Linked DNA regions of Caenorhabditis elegans. The protein of the gene in region 2 interacts with the protein of the main gene of each other region in a pairwise test. Each region holds a gene or a part of one and is shown on either strand. Other genes may lie near its edges. The genes, in order: Y116A8C.20 and ztf-9.

Evidence for each region.
Region 1: the proteins of ztf-9 (region 2) and Y116A8C.20 interact in a two-hybrid assay, tested with the Caenorhabditis elegans proteins (one large-scale study listed by BioGRID).

What each region holds. Positions count from the first base shown.
Region 1 is NC_003282.8:17,037,378-17,043,726, reverse strand, and holds Y116A8C.20 (C3H1-type domain-containing protein), read right to left. Parts: upstream 2,810-6,349; coding exon 2,204-2,809; downstream 1-2,203. Other genes in the region: Y116A8C.19 (C3H1-type domain-containing protein), read left to right, coding at 4,082-4,672.
Region 2 is NC_003283.11:9,688,693-9,695,664, forward strand, and holds ztf-9 (C2H2-type domain-containing protein), read right to left. Parts: upstream 3,468-6,972; 5' UTR 3,445-3,467; coding exon 3,335-3,444; intron 3,286-3,334; coding exon 3,198-3,285; intron 3,140-3,197; coding exon 2,908-3,139; intron 2,860-2,907; coding exon 2,456-2,859; 3' UTR 2,347-2,455; downstream 1-2,346. Other genes in the region: rbx-1 (RING-box protein 1), read right to left, coding at 1,261-1,311, 1,497-1,703, 1,754-1,828; ZK287.7 (RNA_ligase domain-containing protein), read left to right, coding at 4,377-4,906, 4,963-5,177, 5,317-5,453, 5,665-5,815, 5,864-5,994.

The DNA.
Region 1 (6,349 bases), on a different chromosome or scaffold from region 2:
CTAAACCTGAAAAAAATCGAGACCGATAACAAGGTGCATAAATGAATGACACAATAATTATACTACTTTCAAAAAACTTTTAGAATGTTGGAAAAGTATCCGATCGATATTTGAGCGTTTTCTGAAGCAATATGAGCGCTATGGGAAAAAGTCGATATTTCAGAAATATTTCGAAAAATATAGTTTCAAATTTTGTTTTATTATATTTTCAGCCGGTTTAATATAGCACTTCATTTAGTAGGTATTGAAAAAAAAAAACAATTTTCGAAATTATTATTAAATAATTTCACTATGGTCACAGAAAAGGTTCCGTGAAGTATCTGTGGAAATTTGAACAATATCAAAAATTGCTGTTTCTAAAAGGATTTATATATTCTATAGAAATTTTTCATGCAGTACAGTTTTTTCCTATTCGGTTAAACAACTTGTAGTGTTTAAAAAATAATTCAGAAATTATCAAAAAACTAAAACAAAATTTGCAGTTTCTAGTAGGAGTTATTATTTCCATATAAACTTTGTATGCAGTATGTAGTAACGGTTGCTGTTGTGAGATACATTTCAGACTTTCATATATTTTCGGCTGTGTAAAAATTGGAAAATCTATTGAATTGAAAAAATTCTAGAAAAAAATATCAGTGAAAAAAGGAAGAATTGAAAAAAAATGAAAAGAAAATGTAACTGAATGACAAAAAGTTATATGTCTTCCTGAAACGGAATTTTTCTAATTTACATCATTGATATATTTTTTATTTCTAGTTTAATATAACTCAGAGAATTCGAAATATTAGAATTGCGTAAAGCACTCTCGTAAAACTTGCATTTTTGTGTAATTACAAATTTTTGCGATAAAAGCAAAAGCTACTGTTTTCATGAGTTCTTTGACGGAAACTTTCATGCTATTAATTACTGTTTCAAATGAGTCATTTGAACAAATAAAAAAGTTTAAAAACATTAACTGAGTCTGAATGTTAATATTTAAAATACTTTTGAAAAGCAAAACATTAACTTCAGATTTTAAAATCTGAAATTAATATTTCACTTTTCATTCAATACAAAAATTGCTGACGACTTGTGTCATGACAGTAGCTAAAACTTTAATCCACGCTATAAGAAACTTTTTAAAAAATGTATTTGCATGAAATCTAGAACCATTTCAGCAATAAGACCAATTTCCAATAACTAATTATTTTTACTGACTAATGTGATTGATAATGTCATTGTTAAGAAAAAAATAATTTTATTAAACCACACATTAGAAATCAAACAATTGAAAACATTATCAAGATAAGATTACAAGAAATATGAAAATAGGTATTATACGAATTATATTAATAGTTCATAAGGTTGAGAAAAAAAGAGATTAGAAATAGAACTACTCCGCAAATCGCTCCTCCTGGAGCGCGGACGGGGCGCGACTAGATTACGAGTTCGCGCTCCAGTCACACGTTTTTTCGCGCTCCTTCCGCGCCTCGTTGGCGCTCTGACCGCGTCCCATAAAATTTCGTAAGAATTTTTCAAATTCGGAATGCGCGCGGAGCAAACGCGATTGGAGCGCGCACGTGGCGCGTAAGGAGCGCGAAAAAAAGGGTGACTGGAGCGCGAACCCGTGATCTAGTCGCGCCCCGTCCGCGCTCCAGGACAAGAGATTTGCCGAGTAGTGCTGAATAGTTGTGTTCAATTTATTTGGTCTTCAGTATGAATGTTTGGTATGCAATTCTGTAGGTTTAAGATTTGAGCACGTTTTTGAAATGCAAGTAGTTGTGGCGGAAAAATAGTGGCCAAAAAGCCGTCTTCACAATTGAAAGTTTTTCTTGATCAATGAAATTTTACTTCTACAACGTGCTATCGAACTTGAACCAAAACATTTGTAAACTTTGAAAAATAAATTAAACGCCTGAAACAGAAAAATTTTATGTTCAACCTGACTTTTTTTTCAAAACTCGTAAGTTACTTGACTGACGCAGTGACAGGAAGAATTTTGAAAATTATGAGAAGTATTGAAGAATTTAAAATTGCATTTTATTAGTCTGAAAATAAATATACCAAAAAAAAACCAAATCCAAAAATATGAACATCAGGAAAGAATATATAAAAAGAGTATAAAATAAAATGGTGAAGAAATTGAATAATATAAAATCCTCAATTAGAAATCTATAAGGAAATAGTAATTGGTTTTGAAATTTTGATACAATCGACAGGAAAACTAGTTAAGAAGAGCTGAACAATGCCAATTTGGCAAGAAGCTTGAAGAATCCAGAGCAAATGCACGAGAGAGGTCCGATTGAACGTCAAGCTTGAAATCCGCTGTGTCTATTGGTCTGGTTACATTAGTTGCGTCCATGGATCTGTGGATGAACTGACACCTGATTCCGTACTTGCAATATCCAGTTGTCGTGAATTTATCGCAAAGTACTGTTTTGTAGTTGCGATGGTTTTTCTTTGCCTGTTGACACCTGAGCTCATGAACACCGTGAGCAAATTTACATTGTTCTCCGTAAATGCATGTTTTACCACGTTTGTGAGAAAGACATAGAGCTGTCTTGAATGCTCCTTCCTGTCTTTTCATTCTCTTCATTTCTTCACGAAGCTCGTCGGGAATTGTGCACGGATCTCTGCTGGCCTGTAATTGATATGACTCCAATTTGTGCACTGCTTCCGTTTTCGTAGAAGCTTCGTATACGGAAGATCCTGGAGATGATGTATGTGAAAGGGATGGAGGGTAATTGGTTACAGGAGCTCCAGCAGGGAATGCACACGTCAGAATGAAGTTGGAGAGGGTATTCGATTGATTGGTTGTTTGAACAAACATTGTGAAGAACTTATATAATTTCTGAAAAATGGGAATAATGAAAGAATGGAAAAACTATTAATTACGCAAATTATATTTTAACGACAAAAAGACTTGAAGGCAAAAATAAAGTAAAAAAGCAACACAAAAAAATATCCACAATATGCTAAAGTTTTACAAAAAAAATCCCTAAAAAGAGCAAAGCTAAAGAACAACTTCTCAGGATGACAGTTGTTTGCATGAATGACACAATTGTCATCCTGTCATCAGGCAACTGCATGAACGCTGAAAATTGATCCAATCGATAGCGTAGTGAGTCAATTATTGATCGGGAAGCTCCGCCCATTTACAGGCTCGATTTTTCCTTAGCAACTTGGCAAGACACCACTATTAATAACCGCTTTACTAACTTTCAAAAGATTTAGTTTGAAATATTTTCAGTCAAATCTTATGTGGAAAAATTAAACCACAAAGCACAGTACTAAGACCACAGTAGCTCTTTTGGTTTTATAAAATAGATTCCATGAAACAGGAAATAATAGGGACTTGACTTTGTTTGCAAACTTCTCTTCAGCCGCTTATTAGCTCAATGAGAAACCACAAAACTTAGATAGAGATAATTATAATCAAATTGAAATTTCAACAAGATTAACAATTTTCCAAAAATTGTAGAATATTTCTCACAATATATTTCTGCTAGAGGTAAGGTGAGTAAGAGGTATTACATACATACCCTTAGGGTTCCACATTATTTTGAAAGAGTTTTGGATCAAGTATCCAAAAGTTCATTTTCAACAAAAAAAAAACTACATTACAAAAAACTATCCCATCCATCCCAATTCCTAAAACCTCCCTGTACATATCGCCTTCTTTTTACAGCGTGTGGCCTGCAAGTGGGCGGGGCTTGCAACAAATATACATGTTATCGATTAGATACTGTTCCAGCGTTCCTTCCGTTTCCTGAATACAGTCTGTCAATTGTGTCATTCAATTCATTTACTTTCATCGTGAATGGTTACATTTTTCTTACTTTCTTAGACCTGCTTTTCTAAATCAGCTTAAATTCTCCAAAAAGTGGTTTCTCTGAAATTTCAAACTGTTTTCAATTCAATAATGCAACATGGTATGATCACTATGATGAATATAATACCTGCTTGTTGCAGTCAACTTTTGTATTAGCACAATAATTTTCTGACTCTCACTCTTTTTACTGTTTCTTATTATTATTTTATCTTTCTATCGTTTTCTTTCTTCCAAATAAATTTTTTCAGCAACTACTCAACTGCTTATACAATGTCTCCGGAATCTAGCAACCAAACAACATCCCTCTCCAGTTTCCTTCTGAAATGTGCTTTCCCAGACGGAACTGTTCCTATTAATATTGCTCCTCAATCGCTTTCACTGTCATCTTCTCCAGGATCTTATGACGGAGATCAGTTTTCTCCACTCATGAAACAGCACAAATCACGAAAATACGACTCATGCACAATTTCTGACGATCTCCACGACGAAATGAAAAGACTGAAAAAGAAGGAAGAAGCATTCAAGACAGCTCTGTGTGGTTTTCAAAGAAGAGGTCAGAAATGTATTTATGGAGAGCAATGTAAGTTTGCTCACAGTGTGCATGAGCTCAGGTTCACACAGGCAAAGAAAACTCATCGTAACTATAAAACAGTTCTTTGCGATAAATTCTCGACAACCGGGTATTGCAAGTACGGAGCCAGGTGTCAGTTCATCCACAGAGCTCTTGGCTCAACTTCTACAACCGAATCAGCGGAAATGGCGGATTTCAAGCTTAATGTTGAATCAGACCTGTCTCGTGCATTTGCTCTGGACTATACAAGTTTCTTGCCCAATTGGCATTGCTCAGCTCTTCTTCACTAGTTTTCCTGTTGATTGTACCAACAATTCAACACCAATTACTACTTCCTTATATATTTCAAATTGAGGATTTTATAATTTTCAATTTCTTCTCCGTTTGATCTTATACTCTTTTTATATATTTTTTTTCTGATGTCCATATTTTTGGATTTGGCTTTTTTTGTTTTATTATTTTTCAGACTAATAAAATTCAACTTATCATTTTTCAATACTTCTCATAATTTTCAAAATTCATCCTGTCACTGCGTCAGTCAAGTTTCAGAACTTACGAGTTTTGAAAAAAACGGGTGGAGCATAAAATTTTTCTGTTTCAGGCGTTTAATTTAATTTTCAAAGTTTACAAATGTTTTGGTTCAAGTTCGATAGCACGTCGTAGAAGTAAAATTTCATTGACCAAGAAAAAGTTTCAATTGTGAAGACGGCTTTTTGGTCACTATTTTTCCGCCACAACTACTTGCATTTTAAAATCGTGTCCAAATCTTAAACCAACTGAATTGAATATCAAACATTCATACTGAAGACCAAATAAATTGAACACCTGAAACAGAGAAAAAACTTATACACTGTTCCCCTAAAAATACAGAAAGGATGTGGAAATTAGGATGAACTATATATTTTTGTTGAAAATTTGAAAATTTTTCGAATTTGCCGAGCTCGGCCAATTCGGCAAATCTCCTTTTTTGAAATTTGCCGTGCTCGGCAAAAATTGAGCTTTTCAAAAGGAAACAATAAAACTTGTGGATAATTCATCAATACTTTTTCAAATAAATACGAATCCCTAACGCTATAAGATACCTCAAACTTTGCATGTTGCTGAAAAGTATGGTGCTTTACAAATTACAATCGATCAGTTTATGTTTTTTGGAGCACCGAAACTACTAAATTTTTAACACACATCTGTTTTCTGAATCAGTTCCGTGTAGTGTGTCTGCTTAAATATTAAAATAACTCAATACTGAATTTTTGCCGAGCTCGGCAAATTCGGCAAATTTGCCGCACCCCCAGGTTAACACATCTTGTTGAAATTCTTTTAGCTCATTTCTGCTTTTTGAGCGTATAAAATTTCTATTAGAAAGCTGCAAATATAGCCACATTTTTTTCTGTTTCATGGGGTCTATGTATTTACTTTTTAATTTTATTGGTTATTTTGATCTGCATTCAATCTTTATTTCAGCTGTAATTTGGAATATAACTATCATCTGCAAAAGTATTTTGGAAACTACAAGCAAATCCCACTTAAATTTCTGATAAGCAACGGTGTAGATCAGAAAAAGTTTTTAAAATAATTAGGTTCGAACGTACCGATTATTCAGGTTTGTTAACTTTTATTGCATTTATAGGACACTATCAAGTTAAAAATAAGAATTCTTTAGAGATCTCTCATAGTTTGTTTTTTAAGCATTTTACTTTGCTTATGTACACGAAAGTTATATACAAAGTTACATCTGGAAAAAAGATGACCAGCAACATGATCAGCGCTCTATTTATTCAATGAAACTTATGAATTTTCTGAAACCGAAATTTTTTTATTGAAAAAATATTTATGAGATATTCGAAGTACAGTTTCAAAGGTGAAACAAGGGGTGTAGAACTTTCTTTCGTTTTTGGGATATCTCCATTATTATTGAAAAATTGTCAAATCCCTGAATGAACTCAAAATTTTTTTTCTAAATTCGAAAC
Region 2 (6,972 bases):
TTCCAAATCGGGGAGTGGATCGAGGAACACGTTCAACAAACATACACTGTATTGGGTAGGGGAGTCGGTTTGCTTGTTCCGACATGAGAATCTCGAGTTACAACTCGCAAAACCAATTAAATCTTCTCGCAGACAGTAACTGATCCCCGTGGTGTAAATTTTGACCTATTGGTGTTTGATCTGATCACTTCGATGATAACAGAAAATATATAAATATGTAGCTAAGTTGGAGAGTACGGTAGGTTACGGTGTGATCGCGGTGAGATATCAGGTGATTATAAACTATATAGTTTAAGTAAGCCCAAAGCCCAATAGCGGCCTGAATATACCTCGTTTTTAAAGAAACGTTTTAAGTTACTTCAGAATGAAAAAAAAACAGTCTAGAAGTATTGGGAATTAAATTTTCGAGTGGCAGTTATATTAAAAAAAATAAACCGATGTGTATAATTTTCATTGAGTTTTGCCCTACTTTGTGAACTTCAACACTTCTAAATATGTATGAACAATTTTGTGCAATTTGGCATTCGGAGGAACTACTGTATCTGAAATCGTGGCAGGACCCAGCCAAGAGAAGTAGTGTGCGCCTTTAAAGTGATACTTCACTTTTCATGAAGTTAAGAATATCCGCAATTTAGCAACGTCGATTATTGAACAATAAACGTTTGTAGACAGTTTTAAAAGCAGAAAATTATCTTGGTCTATATTAATGAGAGAACTCTACAAAAATCAGTATCCAAAATTTAAAAAAAACTTTGGCACAGAAACGAACAAGCAATCGTAATAATCAATTATTACGGAAAGGAATACGAAGAAGCGGCGAGAAATGTGCTGCAATTCGGTTTTGAACGTTTTAGCCGAATTGCAAATAAATTACGCGAGACGAGACCTCCTCCTTTTGCTCCGGCGGCTTGAACGGTGCCCGCAACCTGAACCTAAACAGCCTAAGCACATAAACGGCACGAGAATTGTCTCGTTGAGAATTATGAGACCAGAGGACACAGTTCATATTTATATTTTTAGCGGAGAAAAATTAAATATTCAAGCGAGGAAGGATGATTTTAGAAGGTCAGAAGGGATTGGAGATTTGAATAAACAAATGAAAAGTGTCAGATCACATAGAGACTAACACGTCTGGATTTTAATGTGCTTTTTTTTGGGACGAATACATATTCACAAAAGGAAATAGAAGAAAAATCAGTGAATACAAGTAAAAAAGTGTGAAGAAACTGCCCGGGCGGTTGGCAGAAGAATGAAGATCGATTAGTGTCCGTACTTTTGGAATTCCCACTCACGATTGTCCAATGGGCATACCTGAAAAGATAGAATTAGAAAATGTGTAAGCTTTTTGAAATGCTAGTTACGAGTACTTAGTAATTGAAAAAAATTAAATTTTCAAAAGTTGTTTAACAAAAATGCATGCGGCAGGCTTCTGTTCCGCTTTGACATTTGAATAAATATCATTTTTTCAAAAATAAGCACGTTTAAAAGCAACCTACCTGTCGTGTCTTCAGCCAACGAGAAATGCAATGGAAGTGGAAAGCGTGATTACAGTTTCCCCATGCAACGGTACACTCATCCTTGAGCCCGGCTGCTTGATTCGCTTGGCACTCGATGCACAGATCCATGATGTGATTGCGGCAAATAGCGCAGTTGTCGACCTGAATGTCCCAGGCCCAAAGTGCGACGGCACTCCATTTCTTGACCTTAAATTGCACTATGTTTGTTAAAGCATGTAACATTGTATCTGTGTTACCTCGAAACGCTTCTTAACTGTCTGATTTGTGGCCTCCTCGACCTCCATAGCTGTGCTGTCGCTTGCTTGGGCCATTTCTGGAAAAAATACAAATGAGAATAACAGTAATCATTTCAAAATAAGAGCGCAAAAGTAGCATTGATGATATAATGAAATACTTAATATTGAACATGTTTATGCATACTATAATACTATAAGCCTAAACTAAATAGAGGATATGATTGATAAAATTGTTGTATCAGATTTTATGAAAAATTGTACCCTAGAACAAGTGATTCACGAACCTAATACAACATTGTTGTACAAAGCCGCCGATAGAAAATGAGGAAACATGAAGGACTTGACATTATTGCTAATATGTATTGAAAAAGGAGATACGCTGTTGTAAAATAAATAAAATGAAATCAGACTGAGCAACACTGCCGAAATTCTTTCGAAAGAATCATCAAAAACGCTTGTCTGCACACACCAGACGCTACGCGCATTTGCGTACACCGTACTCACCTATTTTCTGTCTTCACGCTTTCGCTTTCTTTTTAAAATTTACTCGTCGCGTCTTATTTCTTGCCGAAACGAACAAAGAAGAACAGGTTAAAAAGAAAAATTGTATTTAACAAAAATAAACCGTATCAGTTAGTATTTTAACAGTAATTCTAACAATTGGGACGATGAGAAAACAACTTTTAAATCGTTTCAAGATATTTATTCTGGCAAATCCGTGTATCCAATTCTCTTTTTCTTTCGCTCCGGAAAACATTTTTCAGTAATTTCTTTCAGCTTGTTTCCTAGATTTTTTCGATAGTCAATAACCATGTCGCAGTCGATGGTTCCGTCGGGTCTCTCGTGATGGCTTTTTATGTGCTTGATCACATCAGATTTTGCAATTGTCTGCCATTTTCTGTGACAGATTCCGCACTCGTAGAGCTCATATTTTCCGTGACGCGTATTTGCATGATACACCATGCTTGATCTTTGTTTGGAAACAACGTCTCCACAAAGAGAACATTGAATTTGTTGCTTCGGCTTGATCGGACCACCGCCATCAGATGCTCCCTCGAATGAAGGACCGGCTCCACGTTCTTCTTCGTGACGTGCCAGAGTTTCGTCTGAATTAAATCCAAATGAGTGGGAATCATTATTATGTGTAAGTTTACCTAGAAAGGCATGATAAGCATTATCTACGAAGACAACAGGAGAAGATGACTGAATAGGTGTGCCAGTTGCTTCTGAGTTTTCGACTTTGACTCTGTTCTCCACTGTGCTTGACACCGCATCGCTGATTTTCCCTTCAATCCGCATAGATCGACTCATTGCAATGCACCGTTCGAGCTTTTGGGTCAGTTCCTTCTTTTTCATACTCAACTCCGGTGTGTAGCGATATTTTATCTGCAATTTAAATTATTGTTGAATTTTTTTTCTGCGTCTCTCAACATTGGAGACTTACAGAAAATTCGGTGAGTCCATGATCATTCATACAGTGACTGACAAGGGCGAATTCCGTTGGAAACTTAGCGTACTTACATTTTTCGCATCTAAAATAGTAAAGCTACGTTCACCACATATTAAAAGTTAAAGACTTACTCATATGGGCATATGTTAAGATGATCACTAGCAATGTGTGCTTCGAGATCTTCCAGTGTGTTGTAGGCCTCAGTTTGAACGCAATCTAGACATCCCAGTAGTCGGTTCATTTTTTGAATGTAATAAATATATTCTGCAAATTTAGTAATATAGATTTAGAAGCGAACGGTTAACAAAATGTGTTCGAAATCAACTGAAGACGCGTGGAAAAAGGAAAAGAATGGTGAGAAGAAGAAGGAAGGAAAATGGAGAGAAGGGGGTGGTTTTGTGTGTGTGAGGAGGAGAAGAAGGCCGGGCGGGCAATGGCCAGTCTCTTCCTCCTTTCTCCTTCCTTTCTTCTCCTCTTTCTTCTTTTTTCTTCTTCTCATCGCTCGGTTCGCGCTACATTGAAACGGAGAGAGAAAGGGAAAGAGAGAGGACAAAAATGCGACGACTCGTCTTCTTCCTATCTCTTTCTCTCTGCTGTGTGTGTGTGTGTGTTTTTGTGGCGATAGGAAAAAAAGAAAAAGGAGCGGGATGGGCGGAAGAAAAGTGGGAAAAACTGTTGGAAAAATGAAAACGTGAGAGAACAGATATGAGTCAGATTTTTGTGAAAAATAATTAATTTTGAGATAAAAAGTTGATGGTACAAATACCATGACCATGCATGGCAGTCTCTTTTTTGTTGAAATTTTTGTTTAGAAAACTTATTTAAAACCAATTCTTAAGGAATATGCATTTTTTTTAAACACGAAATTCGCTTTAAACAGAGTACTTCCATTGGAAAATGTAAGGGAAATAAACGATAAAGCAGCCGAAGCTACCATAAACTTTTTTGCGCATCGAGACCAGTCCAAATCAATCCATGCGCCTTTAAGAAAGTATGCCAAAATCTTGTAAAATTAAGATACCATTTTTTCCTAGCAAGAATTTCTCGCTTTCTGATAATTAATTTGGTAAAAAATTCTAAAGCTTATCTGAAACCTTTCGTCTTATAATTTTACAGACTCGGTTTATATTTTATTTTGATAATTAAAAAATAATCAAGATTTTTCAGAGAAAAATGAACACACTGCGACGAATATCGACATGTCGATTCACAAGTAATACAGCGTCTTCAACTTCTTTGGAGTCTGCACCGGCTCCACTAAATCCAAAAGTTCAGAAAGCTCTGACTCCTGCCACGTTTTCAAATCCCAATCAGCTGGCTCGATACCTATCGAAAAAGGTTTTGGCTCACGCTCCAGGTCGATTTGTAGTGTTGGAAAAGCCATATGGATTGTCATGTGTTGGACAACTTCAAGAAAATGGTGGAGTATTTGGGAATAGTGTTCGAGATGAGAGAAAAACTGAAAAATGGGCTGGTACAATCAAAGCAAGGACTCAAGAACAAATGGGAGTAACAATTTCCGATTGTATCAAAGATTTGAGAAAGTTGCTCCGTGAGCCTCAGCTCAGTTTCTGTACAGGCTTAAAACGATACTTATCTGGTGCAATTGTTCTTCCATGTAATGAAAAGGATTCCAATATTCTGAAAGAATGTATCAGAAGCACTTCTTCAAATGTCGAACCCCCTTTTATGTATAATGCCTTGTAAGTTTTATCAATTTCTAAAGTTTAATTTTAGTATTTATTATTTTAAAGTTCAGAGCAATCACAATTGGAAGACCTGAAAAGAGCAGTGGAGTCATAACTGGATTTGCCACGTTTCGGAATGTCGGAAAGCACAAAGAGTACATTTTCGAAGAAAGAAAAACAACGAAACGGGCAAAAACTGGAAAATACGCTGTAGAAGGACATATGAGCTATCGAGTACTGGACACAAAAAATGGAATTTCATTGATCGACTTTTCAGTAAATAAATGTAAATTAACCAAAAATCTTCCGAAAAAAATCATCTTGGTATATTTAATTTCAAATTAAAAAGTACGACGACGCTGGGTTTTTAGATAACAAATGTTTGAATACATATTATTTTTGTATTGAATATTATATTTCTTCAGTTGCTCGTCATCTCCCACGACTGATGCTAACTCAGATGTCTTGTCCGATCCTCGGAGACACTATCTACTGGAGACGTTTGGCCGACGTGGATGGAGTTCCTGAACTTATCAGCGCGGGAAACATGGGGCATAGAATTGTAAGTCACCAAAGTTATTTTGTAAAGAAAAAAACTTGAATCTTATTCAATCTTACAATAAGAATTGAACTTTTAAATCTTAAAAAAATGTATATCTTAAATACTATCAAAATCAATCTGTATTGTACTGTTTTACTCCCCATATATTTGCAAAATAAGTTTGACAAAACTGGAAAGTTGCCATGTTTTTCTAAAATGACTATTATTCCAGTTCATCCCACCTCATCTTTGTTCGACGCTCGAAACTTCAAATCGAAGTCTACTCACTTCACTTCCAATTTATTGCCACGTGTACAACACAATTTTCGAAGACGTCGGTGGTCATGAAGCACATGGTCTCGTTGCAGCTGCGAAACCACCGGGTATAAACTTTTTTGATTTGCAAAATCTGAAGCTTCCTATATTTTTAGCTCATTTCATAGCAATGCTCGATCTACTTGGTCTTCGTCATGCTTATAAAGATTTTATGAATAGATCTGAAAAACCTTCAGAAGACTCATCGTCTTCAACATCACGAACATCGGGAGATGTCGTATTTTAGGATCTCAAATTTTATTAGTTCAGTTATTGTAAGAAATCTTGTCAGTTTTTTGTTGTTGTCTGTTGCTCTTTGTTAACTAATAAAACGCAATTTTTCTTGACGTCGCTCTGCCATAAATTTTCAATCATCTTCTCTTCTCTTTCTACTGCTGCCGTTGCACCCTGGGTTTGAAAAATTTCTCTTTCATCCCGTTGCAATGGTTTACGGATTACGGTAGATGTCTCGGTTCAGTTTGAAACGTTAAACAGTGTATTGAAATTACGATTGGCATCGGATTTGAACTTTCAGGTACTGATGGAGACATAATTTGAATAGATATTTCTAGAAATGAAAACCTTGCAGTTGAATATTTGAATTGAAATATTGGATATCAAGAAATTACAACATTTAAAAAAATCAAATCAAAATGGCAAAACATTCAGAGAAATGAGTTTGCTTGTATTACTTGGTTTTAAAGGCGCATGACTCTTTGAGATTACTCTATTGAAAATTTTTGAAACGTGAGAATTTCTAGTTCGCAAATTCGTAATAAATTTGATTAAAAAATATGTTGAATGTATCTAATTCACAGTTGCAATATTTTTTCTTACTATTATTTTCCATTGTATCTGAAAAATTAACAAGTTTCTCATTTTCATTACTACATAGTCATCGTGAAATTTCAAACACTAAATATATTTTTTCCAAGTAATTTTTGATTCCAATTCTTAATTATATTGATGAACAGATAGTTATTTTTGGGCCAGGAAAATAAAATTCAATGTAGCAATATATATTTGCATCAACGGAGCTCAACACCATTATATATCCTTATTTTCCCTGAATTGCCTTTATTGTGCTCGGTTGTAGCTACACTTGTAGACCCACGTCATCTGTCCACACCGCCTACTCGTTTGATCTTCTTTCCCGCGCATTCGATCTCTAAGTCACTCAATCTCCTATGCTATTTTAGTGAATCACGCACATGCAATAGCATTT